Linked DNA regions of Stegostoma tigrinum. The protein of the gene in region 1 binds, or shares a complex with, the protein of each later gene. Links are inferred from orthologs where the notes say so. Each region holds a gene or a part of one and is shown in the gene's direction. Other genes may lie near its edges.

The links.
Region 2: the proteins of pink1 (region 1) and tomm5 are in contact, whole or in part, in a cryo-EM structure (PDB 9EII), measured with the Homo sapiens proteins. The link is inferred for Stegostoma tigrinum from reciprocal best matches to the Homo sapiens genes PINK1 and TOMM5. Residues at the interface, in NP_115785.1 of Homo sapiens: Gln484, Ala488, Gln491, Ser495, Lys496, Pro498, Val502, Lys520, Leu522, Lys523, Leu524, Met527, Glu565, Cys568, Gln569, Ala571, Leu572, Leu573, Cys575, Ser576, Trp577, Ala579, Ala580; in NP_001001790.1 of Homo sapiens: Met1, Phe2, Arg3, Ile4, Gly6, Leu7, Ala8, Lys10, Leu11, Asp12, Pro13, Glu14, Met16, Lys17, Arg18.

Annotation. Positions count from the first base shown.
Region 1 is NC_081381.1:30,930,723-30,937,956, forward strand, and holds the start of pink1 (serine/threonine-protein kinase PINK1, mitochondrial), read left to right. Parts: upstream 1-4,205; 5' UTR 4,206-4,542; coding exon 4,543-4,869; exon of another isoform or gene 4,870-5,096; intron 5,097-6,446; exon of another isoform or gene 6,447-6,573; coding exon of another isoform or gene 6,574-6,579; intron 6,580-6,697; coding exon 6,698-7,189; intron 7,190-7,234. UniProt on the Homo sapiens protein: Serine/threonine-protein kinase which acts as a sensor of mitochondrial damage and protects against mitochondrial dysfunction during cellular stress.
Region 2 is NC_081356.1:12,772,284-12,779,975, reverse strand, and holds tomm5 (mitochondrial import receptor subunit TOM5 homolog), read left to right. Parts: upstream 1-4,644; 5' UTR 4,645-4,727; coding exon 4,728-4,848; intron 4,849-6,744; coding exon 6,745-6,779; 3' UTR 6,780-7,585; downstream 7,586-7,692.

The DNA of each region.
Region 1 (7,234 bases):
ATAAAGCTCAAATGCATGCACAGTACCCAAAAGACAAAGTAAAGTTTTACTTCTCCCATGCCACTGCAAATAGATTTGAATTACTTTGCATTCAATTTTTGAGAGTGCTCTGCATCTGTCCTTAATCATGGTAAAAACTGACTTACATATTGGGATCTCAAAATTAGATCCCCTTTGATTGTACATTCAAGCTTAATTCAGAGCTTGAGCTGGTGATGTGATTCCAGTGCAGTAGTATACAGGAGTAGGAAGAGCAGGAATTCCATTGTGCAGAGAGAAAAATAATTGAACAGGAGAGAGGTAAGATGTAGTGCAAAGGGTTATTTCTAACACTAACTATTGAACATATACAGAGGAAGCTACTTATTGATAATGTTATGATCACATAAGCTTCTGAAGAAGGAGCAACAACCCAGGTTGCGTGCTTTGCTAGAATGTATGTATTTAACATAATGTAAATAAAGAACTACTTTGAAAAAGTTGGTCTCTAGCTATATCCTTTGCACTGAGTAGTGCACTGTAAAACCTTCCAAGACACCGCCCAAAAACAAAACATGCTAAAGGAAAGTGTTGTTTGCAGACAAATTAGATAGATTCTATCACCTGTCCAGGTGATTTAAGTGGATACGAAAGCACATAAATGAAAGAATAAGTAAGTTCTTCAGGTGTCCTGTACAAAATCCTCCTGTGAGTGATGTGACCAAAAACAAGATAACTGGTTATTCATCTCATTTGCTCTGTGTGGGACTTTGCTAAGTCAATACTTTGAAATCGGATTCATACATTTAAACTGATTTGGGCATTTCCGAAAGATATGACAAATGGCTACAGACGTCCTAATTCTCCTGGGAAAGGGGGATGGGAAACCTCAAAAGTAAGCCAGGAGATCAACAGACCAGAGGACAAGGAAAGGAACAGAAGAGTAAAAAGCCCAGACAGGGGTGAATGGGAGACCAAGATCACAAAGGTGAAGCTGGAAACTAGAAGTTTGAAAGCAGGGCTCACTAAAGCCAAGATCAGAAAGAAATGGGAAATAGGGGGACCATGCCAAAAAAGGCAAGTGTATTCTCAAAATAAGCTAGTGAAATCCACTACAATACCTCGTATGTAGGGTAATTTATTTTTAACACCTGAATGATGACCTATGTTTCTCACGGTACATATTTGCCTTTCATTTTGGAAATTTGCAGTGCAGCACTGGTGTTTATGTTTAGTGCAGTAATGGTAATGCCACTGGGCTGGTAATCATCACTCAGGTTAATCCTCTGAGGTTCAAAACCGACCATGGCAGCTGATGAAATTTTAATTCAGTGAATAAATCTGGATTATAAAGCCAGTTTGAGTATTGGTAACCATGACAATTTGTTATAAAAACCCATCTCGTTCACAATTGTCCATTTGGGAATTAAATCTGCTACCTTTAACTGGAATGGCCTACATTTGACTCCAGACATACAGACAAGTAATTGACTCTTAACTGCCCTCTGAAACGGCCGAGCAAGCCACAGTTCAACAGTAATTAGAGATGGGCAGCAATTGCTGGCCTTGCCAGAAACACCCACAATAGAAGAAAAAAAAACAGGAGGGTTACCTCAAAATTGATAATAAAGACTTGCAATTCTATAGCACATTCATGACCTCAGGATGAATTAAAATGCTTTATGGCCACTAAGTACTTTTTGAAGTTTAGTCACTATTGTAATGTAGAGAAAGCAACAGTTAATTTGCACACAGCAAGCTCCCACAAATAGCAATGTAATAACGATCTGATATCTAAACTTATGTACTTGCATCCTGGAATGAGACTGAAATTCATAACCTTCTGTCTTGGGAGATAAGGGTACTATCAACTGACCTACAGCTGATACAAGATTTTTCTTTATTACGAAACTAGCTGACAGGAGATATTTAGGTTGTTTACCAAAACCTCCTCTTCCCATTCCATGTGCCTACCATTGTTTAAATGTCTCTATGCTTAAAGATACTGATGACATTGGTTATGCTGTTAATTTAAGAGGTTTGTTTGAGTGAAGTAAATGCAGAGGAGTAGTACCTTTCATTTCTACATACAGAGCAAATGGATATCCGCACTTTGAGGTGGAGATAGTGAAGGGAAGATGGGCATTAATAAAGGGTAGTGGGAGTGAATAAAGAGCAGGGGAGAGAGATAATGAAGGGGATAACGGTGGTAGTACTTGGATGGCAATGAATAAGTGATAAATGTGGAGAGAGGTAGGATGGTAACAACTAAGAAGGGGAGGGGTTGGGTTGAGCAATAAATAAGAAGGAAATGTTGAATGTGGGGAAGAAATAGGCTTTTTGAGAGTCCTGTGTATGAATAGATGTAGCTTTTAGCAAAACAAAATAAAACCCTGCAGATATTGTGCCTTTTTCAACAAACCAAAAAGGTTGGGGGGAGGGAACAACATTTCTCTAGGGGAATTCTCCATGTAAACACCTCAGTCAGCGTCTACTTGCCAAACAATCAGTATCCTTTTTCCATGCATAGAGTCATTGAGTCATACAGCACAGAAATGGACCCCTCAGTCCAACCAGTCCATGCGAAATGTAATCCCAAACTAAACTGGCCCCACCTGCCTGGTCCTGGTCCATATCCCTCCAAACATTTCCTATTCATGTACTTATCCAAATGTCTATTAAATGTTGTTATTATACCAACAACCACCATTTCCTCAGGAAATTCATTCAACACGTGAACTACCCTCTTTGTAAAATAAAAAATTGCCCCTCATGGCTTTTTAAAATCTCTCTCCTCCCATCTTAAAAACGTGCCCTCTAGTTTTGAAATACCCCATCCCAGGTAAAAGAAAATTGCAATTAACTCTAATCTATACCCCCCCCCCCCCATGTAGTATAAATTGTTGCTCCGTTTGAAATTTGATATTCTTGTAATTGTCATGATGACTGCAGGACAAAACATTTCAACAGCGTAACAAAGTGTGGAGCTGGATAAACACAGCAAGCCAAGCAGCATCTGCAGTTCCCATTATCTCTAATTTCAACAGCATGTTTCCTTTTGCAGTAATAAAGTTGTTACCCTGGTCCCAAAGGACGTAGGGCTGCTCGCTCATTAAACAGAGACGACCAGCGGTAGTTTAACCTGAGGGTCACCTCGCCTCAGGCAAGGGGTGAGCTCAAGAAGATGGGACCTTCATAGTGACCTCATGCAGTACTTGAATTCAATTCACATGTTGGTATCGCAATCCAGCCAGCCAAGTAAGCTACTCGACTCCCCACAGAGCAAAGTCGCCATAGTCCCAAAGACCACAGTACTGCTTTCTCAAGAGAGAGATGATCGGTGATGGCTTACCCTGTGAGTCACCTTGCAAGGGGAAGAGGTTGAGAAGGACAGACCTTCATGGTAACCTCAGCTAGTATGACAACTGAACCCATCCTGCTGGTGTTACAATCATACTCAGATTCTGTTCCGCCAAGTGACTATATAAATCTGAGTTGTTGTAACCAGAATTTTCAACTGTAAAATGTGAACTTAAAATTTTCCATGAGGGTATGAACCCTAGGAGTTCCCTCCTTAAAGGACTCATAACCAGATCTGTGTTTTTAATGTTTGTGTTCCTCCTTTGAGGCTTGCTGGTACTTGTTTCATTTTCCAAGTCATTAAAAGGTAAAGCTATGAAACAAAATCGTTGAAAGCACTGAGGAGGTTACACAGCATCAGAGTACAGATAAGTGCAGTTAAGCTTCAGGTCAATGATCACTTATCATAATGAGAACAAGATAAGAGGTTTAACAGTTTAGAAGCGAGTACAAAGCCGGATAAAAAGGAGGGTTACGCAAGGAGAGAGACAAGAAGCTGAGTTGTGGAACTGAGCTGAAAACATGGCAGCAAAACATAATGGGGAGCGTTAATAGATTATTAAGAAGCAAAATATGGGTCTAGAGGACGTGCTTAACAATGCTGGGTAGAGACATCAACTTTGTATGGCGAAGTATCTGTAATAGAACGGATATTCTTGAATTGTGGGCTTTTATGGAAATTCTATCATTGTTTTTCAAGCTGTTGGTCATCTTTTCCCAAAATTTCCATCCCATCCAATGTTTTCATCACTGCTATTTTTTACTTTTCGTAGAGGGTGTTCTGTTCACTATTTTTCAAGCTTCGAGGTTGGCCTTTTCTCTCCCAAATTTTGTGTCAGTGCTAATTCCATGTCTTGTGGGCTTGAGATTTTCTGGAAGATATTTTCTCCTAGTTTTCTCTGCTGGCCTTCATGGGAAAGCAACAAAATCGTAAATACCTTGGAAGTGGACCACGCTGTCTCCATGTTATTGTGTTCATTGGTCTTTGAAGGGGCGGATCTGCAGCTGAAAATAAAGCTGGTGTTTGGTTTGTAACTGCCCAGTTCGGAGGCGGTTTATGATGACTGTTGCTATGGTTACCGGGCTTGTTTTGAAGGTGATATTTCCCGGTTGGTAACATTTAACGTTCCCTTTCGTCTCAAACGGTTGCTGTTTATCTTCAACAATGTTGAAAAGATAAATCGGAGGTTTTAAACCTTCAAAATGTCGGTGCGACGACTCCTGGCCCGCGGCCTGGACCTCAGCCGCTCGGCCTTGCGCCTCGTCAATCCCGCAGCTCGAGCTCGGGCTCAGGCGGGCGCGGCCTTTGTGCAACCCTGGGCCCAGCAGCCGCTCCAAGCCGTCCTACCCGCCCGCTACCGCTATTTCCGCCTGTCTTTGGGCGGCCTAGCGGCTCAGCTACAGCGCCGGGCGTCTTGGCAGCTCCGCGGGCCGGGCGGTGCTTTGCTGGCCTTCGGCCTGGGCCTGGGCTTCATCGAACAGCAGGTGGAGGAGGTGAGGACGAGCATCGCTGCCTGCGAGGAGATCCAGGTAAATAAACGTCGGTCCGGGCATCGTTTGAACAAATAGATTAATGCTCCTTGCGATATGCTGCTTTTCCGTCTTGCTGTTGTCTAACAGCCGCCTGACTTTTCGCCGGATAATAAAATGTGGAGGCAGAGACAGGCTGGACTGATGAAGGGTCTAGGCCCGAAACGTCAGCTTTTGTGCTCCTGAGATGCTGCTTGGCCTGCCGTGTTCATCCAGCCTCACATTTTATTATCTTGGAATTCTCCAGCATCTGCAGTTCCCGTTATCTCTGACTTTTCGCCGGCTTCGCTGTAGGTGATAGTGGTGTTGGAAGCTAATTTTCTCAACGTCAATTTTAGGCGAAAGCCCCAAGTTGAATGCTCTCCTTTCTTACCTAAACTTTTATTATGATCTCTGACATGCACCTGATGTAGTTTACCTGATTAAGCTCTCTGTCAGTTTGGACGTCACCAAATTTTGACGGTCAACTTCCATTTAAACTTTGATATGATGGTCTAGGCTCTTTTGGTCCATTTTATTAAATAGATGCTGTGCAATCATATCCCAATAACTACCCAGCAAATTTTTTTAAAATGTCAGAAGAACAAGGAGCAGGGATAGGCAATTCAATCCCTTGACCCTGCTCCACCGTTTGATAGGAACACGGCTGATCTCTTCTTGGTCTCAACTCTACTCTCCTCTGTCCTCTCCATAACCATTTAGCCAATTTACTGTCTATCTCCTGCTTAAATTTACTCAATGTCCCAGCATCCAGCGCATACTGAAATAGTGAATTCCACAGATTCACAACCCTTTGAAAGAAGTAATTTTCCCCTCCTCTCTCTTTAAATCTGCTACCTCTTATCCTCAACCTCTCATCCTAGCCGTGCATAAGACATAAAATTGCCTACAGACTTTGTATGAGCTTTAGCAATAAAAAATGTGTGATTTAGAAATGGACAACACAATATCCTACAGAGAATTTGAGTACTGAAGAACACGAGAAGAAATAGAAAGATTGACACTTTCAAAGTTTGAACCAGGAAGTGTAAGTTTTAATATTGAATTCACTGAGCAATTATGTTCAGAAAGCAAAAGAAAGATGAGATTAAGGAGTGGAGATATGGCAAATAAAAATGTTTAAAAATTTTTTAAAAATCAGTAAAATGTTTCCTAAATTTAATTTTCAAATATGATCTGTCACTATTTAACACTGCCAATTGTAAACATGAACCAATAGGTTAACAGAGGACACACCTTTTGGAGAATTAGAAAACTGAGACAAAATAAGACTTAGTTGAGCAACAAAATGCCCAAATAGCAAAATTTCTGCTACATCAGTGAGCGTTGTTTTGACTTGCTTGATATAATTCGTTTTCTACCACAAGGAAGCTCGTACTAATAACATCTTGGGATATGGGGATAGTATTGGAAAATGGTTTTTGGGTGGATGATCAGTCATAATCTAGAATGGGAGCACAGATTTGAGGGACTCTATGTTCCTAAACATTCAACATTATTATGAAACGTAGGAGTTTACCACAATGTCAGTCTTTCTTTCTTCATAGTCTGACAATGAAGCCGTAGCTTCATAATTTCCTAAGCAAGCCCTGGAGAATTGCACTGTTCGCTAGTGGTGAAGAATTTGGTGGAGTCATATTAATGGCGGATCTCTTCTTGGCAGAGCTTTGTTTTTGTTTTAAAATCAATTCTACTCAAAACTGAATGGAGGTTTGGTTCATTCTTTATAACTACATTTGAAAAAGTTCCAATTTGCATAAATGTGCACTTATTTGCATATATTTGGTTAGTTAATGAGAATAATTGTTGAATTATTTCCATTTGCCAGACATTGTTTAAAAGGAAGAAAATCAAGTATGAAAACTCCATGCCTTCACACACGAGTGGATATCGATTTGAAGATTACAAGATTGGATACAACATTGGAAAGGGGTGTAATGCAGCTGTGTACAAGGCCTTTATCCCTGAAGTACCCAAAACAAAAGCAAGTGACAAGATCACGACAAAGGAGAAAGATGAAGTAGTTAACAGGCAGGTGAAGAGTGAAGGTCAGTGTGTCTCTGGTGAGGATTCTGGAGAAAGAAAGAAGGTAGCGATTACACAGGAAAACTCAAGTTTGAGTTTTGTGATTTTGAAAAAAGAAATGTTAACAGACTCGCTGAGGGCTTGTGAAGGAGACACCAGCAACCCCTTGAGAGTTTCTTGTGGAGGCAGCAGTTACCTCCTGAGGGCCTTCGAGGAAGACACCAACTACCCCCTGAAGGTACCTGAAGGAGAAACCAGCTATCCACTTGCTCTAAAAATGCTTTGGAACATAAATGTAAGTCAAACATTGAAATGCACAATTTGTTGTTTGAGCCAAGTG
Region 2 (7,692 bases), on another chromosome or scaffold:
TCCAAAGCAGACCATCTCAATCAAGGATGGACTCTGGACATGTCGGGAAGTTGGCATGGCGATTCTCCGAAAGGAACTTTAAGGTGCTGGTTGAGGGCCCATCTTCCTGTAGGACACCAGAGGAAGCTACAGCATTCCCGCTGATATTGTGTTTTTCCTCTTCAAGGCAGACCTCCGAGGTCCATGAGCAGCAACAACTTCCAAAACCAGAAGTCATGGCACTGGCATGGCAACTGTTTGGTGTGGGTCCCAGAGACTAAGACTGACAGAGGGTGGTCTGACGTTCTACTACTCAATGCCCCTCACAGGGGGAGACCAGGACCTGTCTCCCCTGTAGGGTTGCTGAGACAACCAGGTCCTACCGGCCAACTAAACGGGACCACTCTAGTAAAAGATTGCCATGTGGGTCAGTACTATGTGGGTGACCACCATCCGAAGGAATTGACAGCCATGCTGTAAGAAGGCGCAGAGGCTAAAGGCTTTTCTTGTTTAGAAAGATATCAGGTGTCAGCGCATGTTCTTTGTTCGTTAGTGACACTGTCCACTGTAGCAAGCTAAGTGCTGCACTCTTCCTGCTGCCATTTCACACTCACTCTATCTCTGTTCTCCCCTCATTCGTCACCATTCTCACTATTGCCTGCAGCATCTCCCCTCCCTTTCTCTCATTCCAGGAGAACATAGCCATGTAAGGGAGGCATCAGCCTGGTGGTAATATCGCTGGAATGTTAATCAGAGACCCAAGTAATATTCTGGGGACCTGGGTTTGCATTGTGGAAGTTGATTTCAATTTTTAAGTCTGAAGCTAAGAGTCTAGTGGTGATTGTTGATTGTTGGAAACCCCAGCTGGCTCACTAACATCCTTCAGGGAAACTGCTATGCTCGCCCGGTCTGGTCTACATGTGACTCCAGAGACACAACAATGTGGTTGACTCTTAACTGCTCTCTGGGCATTTAGGGATGAGTAGTAGATGTTGGCCTTGCCAGAGGCCAGGCACCTACACGGCCCCCAGCAGGACAGGACCCAGTGGTGCGGGGAATCAGGAACTTCGACCACAATGAACTGGGAGGAACAGCAGCAGGTGTGTGGGAGGGAATGGCCCCAATTTACCAGAAGCTGCAGCGATTCCTGCAACTGTCTAACTGTATCCACAGATAAACTGGCGATTTCCAAGGAAAGACAGGCCCAGCCCCCTCAGGATCTGCTTGCATGCGCCCACTATCCATTGCCCCAGCCACTGGTCGGCAGGCCTGTAGCATGGCAACGTGGAGATGGGGCACCTTCTGTGCACTCTAGATGACCCCGTCCCCACCAGGATACAAAGCAGTGCCCAGGGATAGCCACCAGAGGAGGAACCACACTCAAAAAGCCCTTCAGCAATCTCCTCTCGGGACACTCCAGAGGTAGCTGGGGCCTTCCCCTCCTGCCGCCTATCAAAAACAAGGGAACCTGCCACAAAATGGGATCCATCCATTACCATTTCCCCACATATACCCAATAAAATGGGCTGATTTAACCTTACAATCCATTCTCTGTTGGTCAAGCTGCTGTTTGGAGTTGCAGAATGCTACTGAAGTGTTTAAAATAATGTAAGTCTGAAAGAATGCTTACAGCAAATCTAATTTTTTTCCCTTGTGGGGTGCAGGCAGAGCAAGGGACCACAATTTGAACCTCTTACACCTCTTAACAGCTGAAATAAACTTCTCTCCTGGAGCCATCTCTTCACCAAGAGAATAATGAGGTCTTTGGCTGCAAATTGTCACTCATTTCTCAGTACTATCTGAGCCATTAGGTGAGCAGAATTTTCAACTACAAATGCACACCTTTTCAAGGTTAATGCACTCATTATAAGATCATCATCTGTGTGAAATTGCATGCTGGATTTCAAAAGCAGATGCAGGATTGCAGTAACAAGCACATTGCAAGTTTGTAAATGAAATTCTGCAAAGAGTTTCTATTCTCTTGTTTACATTTTGCCAACTACAACAGTTACATGATGCGCTCAGCAGAGGGAGACAGGATACAGAGCAGAAGGCACTATTGTGATAGTAAACCCATATTCAAAGTCTAACTACAGAGATCAACTGCATATTCACAAGAAGTCCCTGCAGCACAAATGAAGGAACATACATGGCTTCAAATGTACCATAATTATTGATCTCAAACTTGGGTTTGGACTTTCAGATAGGTTCTGAAAAGCCAATTTGTGCACTTTCCTACCTTCCCCACAATTGCAGACCAAGCTCGTGGGATTTTGCCAGGGATTGTTGTTCTTCCACACAGGATTTGTGTTTGCCAGATTTTTTTTTGCTGGGTGCAAAGCCAAGCAGGCTAGAAGGATTACCGCTATTTCTGAAGACTCCAGCTGTGCTCCCAACATGTTTTAAAATGTGAAACCTCACCCTTATATATGCATACACATGGTCTTCCCTTATCTGTCATGGCCATTCACCCAGTATCCACTACATACAATCCTCAGAGGCTATGCAAGACATTCAAAATGAGTTTAAATGCAGTCAATACAGAGTGGAAGTGGAGGAACACAGTAAGTCAGGCAACATCAGAGGAGCAGGAAAGTCGACGTTTCGGGCCGGAACCCTTCATCAGGACTGGGGAGGGGGTACGGAGCTCAGAAGTAAATAGGAGGGGGTGTGATGCTGGGGGAAGGTAGGTAAGATGGTGATAGGTGAATTGTAGAGTTTCATCAGAGGGAAGGGTGGAGCAGAAAGATAAGAAAGAAGATGGACAGATTATGTCAGGTCAAGGAGGCGGTGATGAAAGCAAGGGCTGCTCGTGGGACGGGGCTAGGGGTGGGGAGATTTTGAAGCTAGTGAATTCTATATTGAGGCCATTGGGCTGTAAGCTGCTGAGAAGCAAGATAATGTGTTTTTCGTCCAATTGTTGTGTGGCCTCATTGTGACATTGGAGGAGGCCCAATTTGGTCATGTCACCAAGAGAGTGGGAGAGCAACCAGGAGGTGGTATTGAATGGAGCATACAGAATGCAGATGCTCCGTAAGTCAGTCACTGAGTCTGCACTTGGTCACTCTGATGTAAAGGAGACCACATCTAGAGCAATGGAAGCTGTAGACTAGGTTAGATGATGTACAGGTGAATCCCAGTTGGACTTGGAATGATTGTTTGAGGCCTTGGACAGAGGTGAGAGGGGCTGTGTAGGTGTAGGGATTAGTTTAAAGGCAGTTGCAAAGAAAAAATATTTGACAATGTATTAAAATTCTAATTCAAACATATTACCATTGATACACAATGTTATCACAACCGCGTAAAATTGTCAGTCAGCACCTTGAAGAGCTGTCAACTGCCAACTGGGTGTTGGAACTCAGCCAAGCATTCTTATTGAATACAGTTTTTAAAACATTACCATCCCAACTCCAAAGGCTGAAATTGAAAGAAGAATTAGTATCATCTGCATTTGAACAGGCTGTCTCCAATGAATGGAGGGGAGCAAGCATTAAGGTTGTTCAAATGTCCAAATTTTGCTGTTATTTTTCTGACAGAGTTGGCTGCAGATTTAAATCCCAGTGTTACCACATTGGAAAGCATTTTACAACACATTTTTTCTATATTTTTGAATGCATTATGGCTCTTTCTCAAATGGAAATACTGTAATATATTTCAAAGCTTACACAATACTGGTTACTGTAATAGCTTTCTCTATTTTTAAATAATATTCATCTCCTCCACACTGGTTAGCACTGCTGCCTCACAGCACCAGGGACCTAGGTTCAATTCCACCCTTGATAACAAAGTGTGGAGCTGGATGAACATAGCAGGCCAAGCAGCATCTCAGGAGCACAAAAGCTGACGTTTCGGGCATAGACCCTTCATCAGAGAGGCGTTTGCACGTTCTTCCTGTCTGCATGGGCTTCCTCCCACAGCCCAAAGATGTTCAGATTAGGTGGACTGGCTATGCTAAATTGCCCATAGTGTTCAGGGGCGTGTAGATCAGGTGGGCTGTAGGGGAACGGGATGCTTTGAGGGTCAGCAGGGATTCTATGATCATCCTGCAAAAGTAGCCTCATATATTTATTATATTATTATACCACATTATATTCCAACTGCCAAGCTCTTGCCCAATCACTTAACCTGATTATATGCCCACACTAAATAAAAACTGAAAGAACGCGGATGCTGTAAATCACGAACAAAAACAGAAGTTGCTGGAAAAGCTCAACAGGTCTGGCATCATCCGCCATACCTGCTGAACTTTTCCAGCATAATAATAAAATGTGAGGCTGGATGAACACAGCAGGCTAAGCAGCATCTCGGCCTGCTGTGTTCATCCAGCCTCACATTTTATTATCTTGGAATCTCCAGCATCTGCAGTTCCCATTATCTCTGAACTTTTCCAGCAACTTTGTTTCTTTTATACGCCCACACTATTTGCCTCCCCACCTGTTTCCGTGTCTTGTCTACTGGCCATGTACATTCACTTTCCTCACCCAGGGGAGGAGGAGTGGGGCGGGGGAGAGGAGCACATGGCTCGTCCCGGCTCTCAGACTTAACTCACGTGGGTCCACACTCCGAGCGGGACCGCCCATTTCCGCTGTCAGTCACTTGCCCGAGAAGGGGCGGGGCCAGAGGGGCGTCGCCTCGAGACCCCGCCGGCGCGCCTGCTCTTCCAGGTGATTGGAGGCAGGCGGGTCACGTGTGAGCCTGGGCGGGGCAAATCGGCGAAGGGTCCGCCACCCGCTGCTGCTGCCGCCACCATGTTCAGGATGGAGGCGCTTGGCCCGAAGATGGATCCGGAGGAACTGCGCAAGAAGATGCGGGCGGACGTGCTGCGCTCGCTCCGCAATTTCCTAATTTACGTGGCCGTACTGCGGGCGAGTGAGTATCATGCGGTGGAGGGCGCAGGGGTGCCGCGGCCCTCCCAGGCCTAACGGGAATGTCTGCCCTGCCTCTAGTGGGTGTGATTTCCCCCCGTAGCCCACCCTCAATATCGGGGAACAGGCGAAGCCGCGGGGGGGAGGGAGCAGGATGGTGGAGTGGGGGTCCTGCCGTGCAGGGTGAGGGAGAAGCTGCACTGAGTGCTGAGACTGTGGGGAACAGGAGGGAACTGCACCCACGCTGACCATCCCATCCCCAGACAGGTTTGTTAGGTTTCTGGGTGAATCTCCCAAGTCAGAGCTGCGAGGAATAATGTTTTATTTGCTCCTCGGCACTAACCCTTTTAACACCCAAGGAGTGGGAGGGGGGGTGGCATGCCCCTTCCTGGGCCGCCTCCACTGCCACAGTGATGCCACGTGCAAAACTGGAGGAACAACGCCTCATATTCTGCCTCAGGAGCATACAGTCCGATGGCCTATACAAAGAATTCGCCAGTTTCTAAATCTCCCTGTCCCTGGGCCTCATGCCATCGCCAACCCTCCCCCTCATCCTTGCTTCCTTGACCTGATGCAACTTGTCCATCTCCTTCTCCTTCCCCACCCCCACCCCCACCCCCACCTGCCCCACCCCCACCTGCCCCACCCCCACCTGCCCCACCCCCACCTGCCCCACCCCCACCTGCCCCACCCCCACCTGCCCCACCCCCACCTGCCCCACCCCCACCTGCCCCACCCCCATCTGCCCCACCCGTCCCACTGACCAATAGAACATAGAACAGTACAGCACAGAACAGGCCCTTCAGCCCACAATGTTGTGCCGACCATTGATCCTCATGTATGCACCCTCAAATTTCTGTGACCATATACATGTCCAGCAGTCTCTTAAATGACCCCAATGACCTTGCTTCCACAACTGCTGCTGGCAACGCATTCCATGCTCTCACAACTCTCTGCGTAAAGAACCTGCCTCTGACATCCCCTCGATACTTTCCACCAACCAGCTTAAAACTATGACCCCTCGTGCTAGCCATTTCTGCCCTGGGAAATAGTCTCTGGCTATCAACTCTATCTATGCCTCTCATTATCTTGTATACCTCAATTAGGTCCCCTCTCCTCCTCCTTTTCTCCAATGAAAAGAGACCGAGCTCAGTCAACCTCTCTTCATAAGATAAGCCCTCCAGTCCAGGCAGCATCCTGGTAAACCTCCTCTGAACCCACTCCAAAGCATCCACATCTTTCCTATAATAGGGCGCCCAGAACTGGACGCAGTATTCCAAGTGCGGTCTAACCAAAGTTTTATAGAGCTGCAACAAGATCTCCCGACTCTTAAACTCAATCCCCCTGTTCACTAGCCCCTACTTGCATCCACCTATTGCTATCCCACCTGCCTTCCCCCAGTCCCCCTATTTATTTCTGAGGTCCCTTACCCCTCCTCAGCCCTGATGAAGGGTCTGTGCCTGAAATGTCATCTCTCCACCTCCTCTGCTGCCTGACCTGCTGTGTTCCTCCAACTCCACACTGTATTGACTGAATCTAGCATCTGAGGTTCTTGTGATCTGACTGTTCAGAAATTACATGGAGTGTAATTTCCTTACCTATAATGGTGCCATTCTCATAATTGTTACATTCTGTAGTAACAAATTGTACAGTAAAGTGAGAAATCTCACTATTTCATCTTTCATAATGTTACTTGGGGTCAGTAGGATCCATTGCCTAAATGAATTGACAGTGCTCTTGGCATATTAACCATTAGGTTTTTCCAAGTTATGGTTATGTACAAGTACTGAAACAAAAGGTGCCAATGTAGTCATTAAACTCAACTTGTCCACCTTACCATAATTGCCTCTGTTAGATGTTATGTTGCCAGTTATATTCAATCATATCCTCTGTTTTTCAGCTCCATTTGTCCTAAGTAAACTGGATAGTATATGAAGTTCAGTGAAACCAACGTACTGCAGGACAATAGTCAAGCCAAACTTCATGCTTGTTGCTACAAGATGATAAACTGAATGTGGACAATTGGAAATCTTATTGCTACTAAGGAATGGATCTTTTAAACTACAGGATAAAGTGTCAACTCTCAACATATTGAAAACGTCTACCTGTGCTACTGGATTAATTGTTTTGTTGTGCTTCTCTTACATTGAGTAATCTACCACTTTATTTTGTACAAAGCCTTCTGTAATTGTTTTGTCACAGATCCCCTCCTGTATCAGTATGCAAAACAAACCTGTTTGTACACACATGGACGTCTGTCCAGAGTTTGAATCTGATCCGAAGTGCAGCTGGATAGAAATCAGCTGAGTTTCCTCAACATCAGCAAATACTGCAATTCTTTCTCTATAGTGATTCTGAGAAACATAACTGAATTTTATGAATCATTAAGGGAGCACAGAATGTCTTGGAAATACTTGAGGAAATTCAGCTGGCCTGACAGCACCTGTGGAGAGAGAGTTAACATTTCAAGTCTGTTGTGACTCCTTTTCAGAACTGAGTTCTGAGCTTTTTCTCTCCAGTATTGTTTCAGCTTTTCAGCATCCTACAGAGTTTCAGTCATTGCAAATGTTTGTCATGTCTCTGGTCTTAAGAGGTGCACTGTCAGAAGTGATATGGAATAATGATACTTTCCCAGCTGTGATTTGAGTTGTTTTCTACTGGATTTGCTTTAAGTGGTTTTGTATGAAAATTAATGCATTTTATTATTAATTAAAAGAATCAGTAACTATTCATCTCCTGAATATGAAGATTTAAACTGTCTCATTACTAAGTTGCGTATGATTTCAAATTTTTTTCCTCTGCTTTCTACGCTTCTTCTAACTCCAGTGGTCTTTCTATGATCTAAATT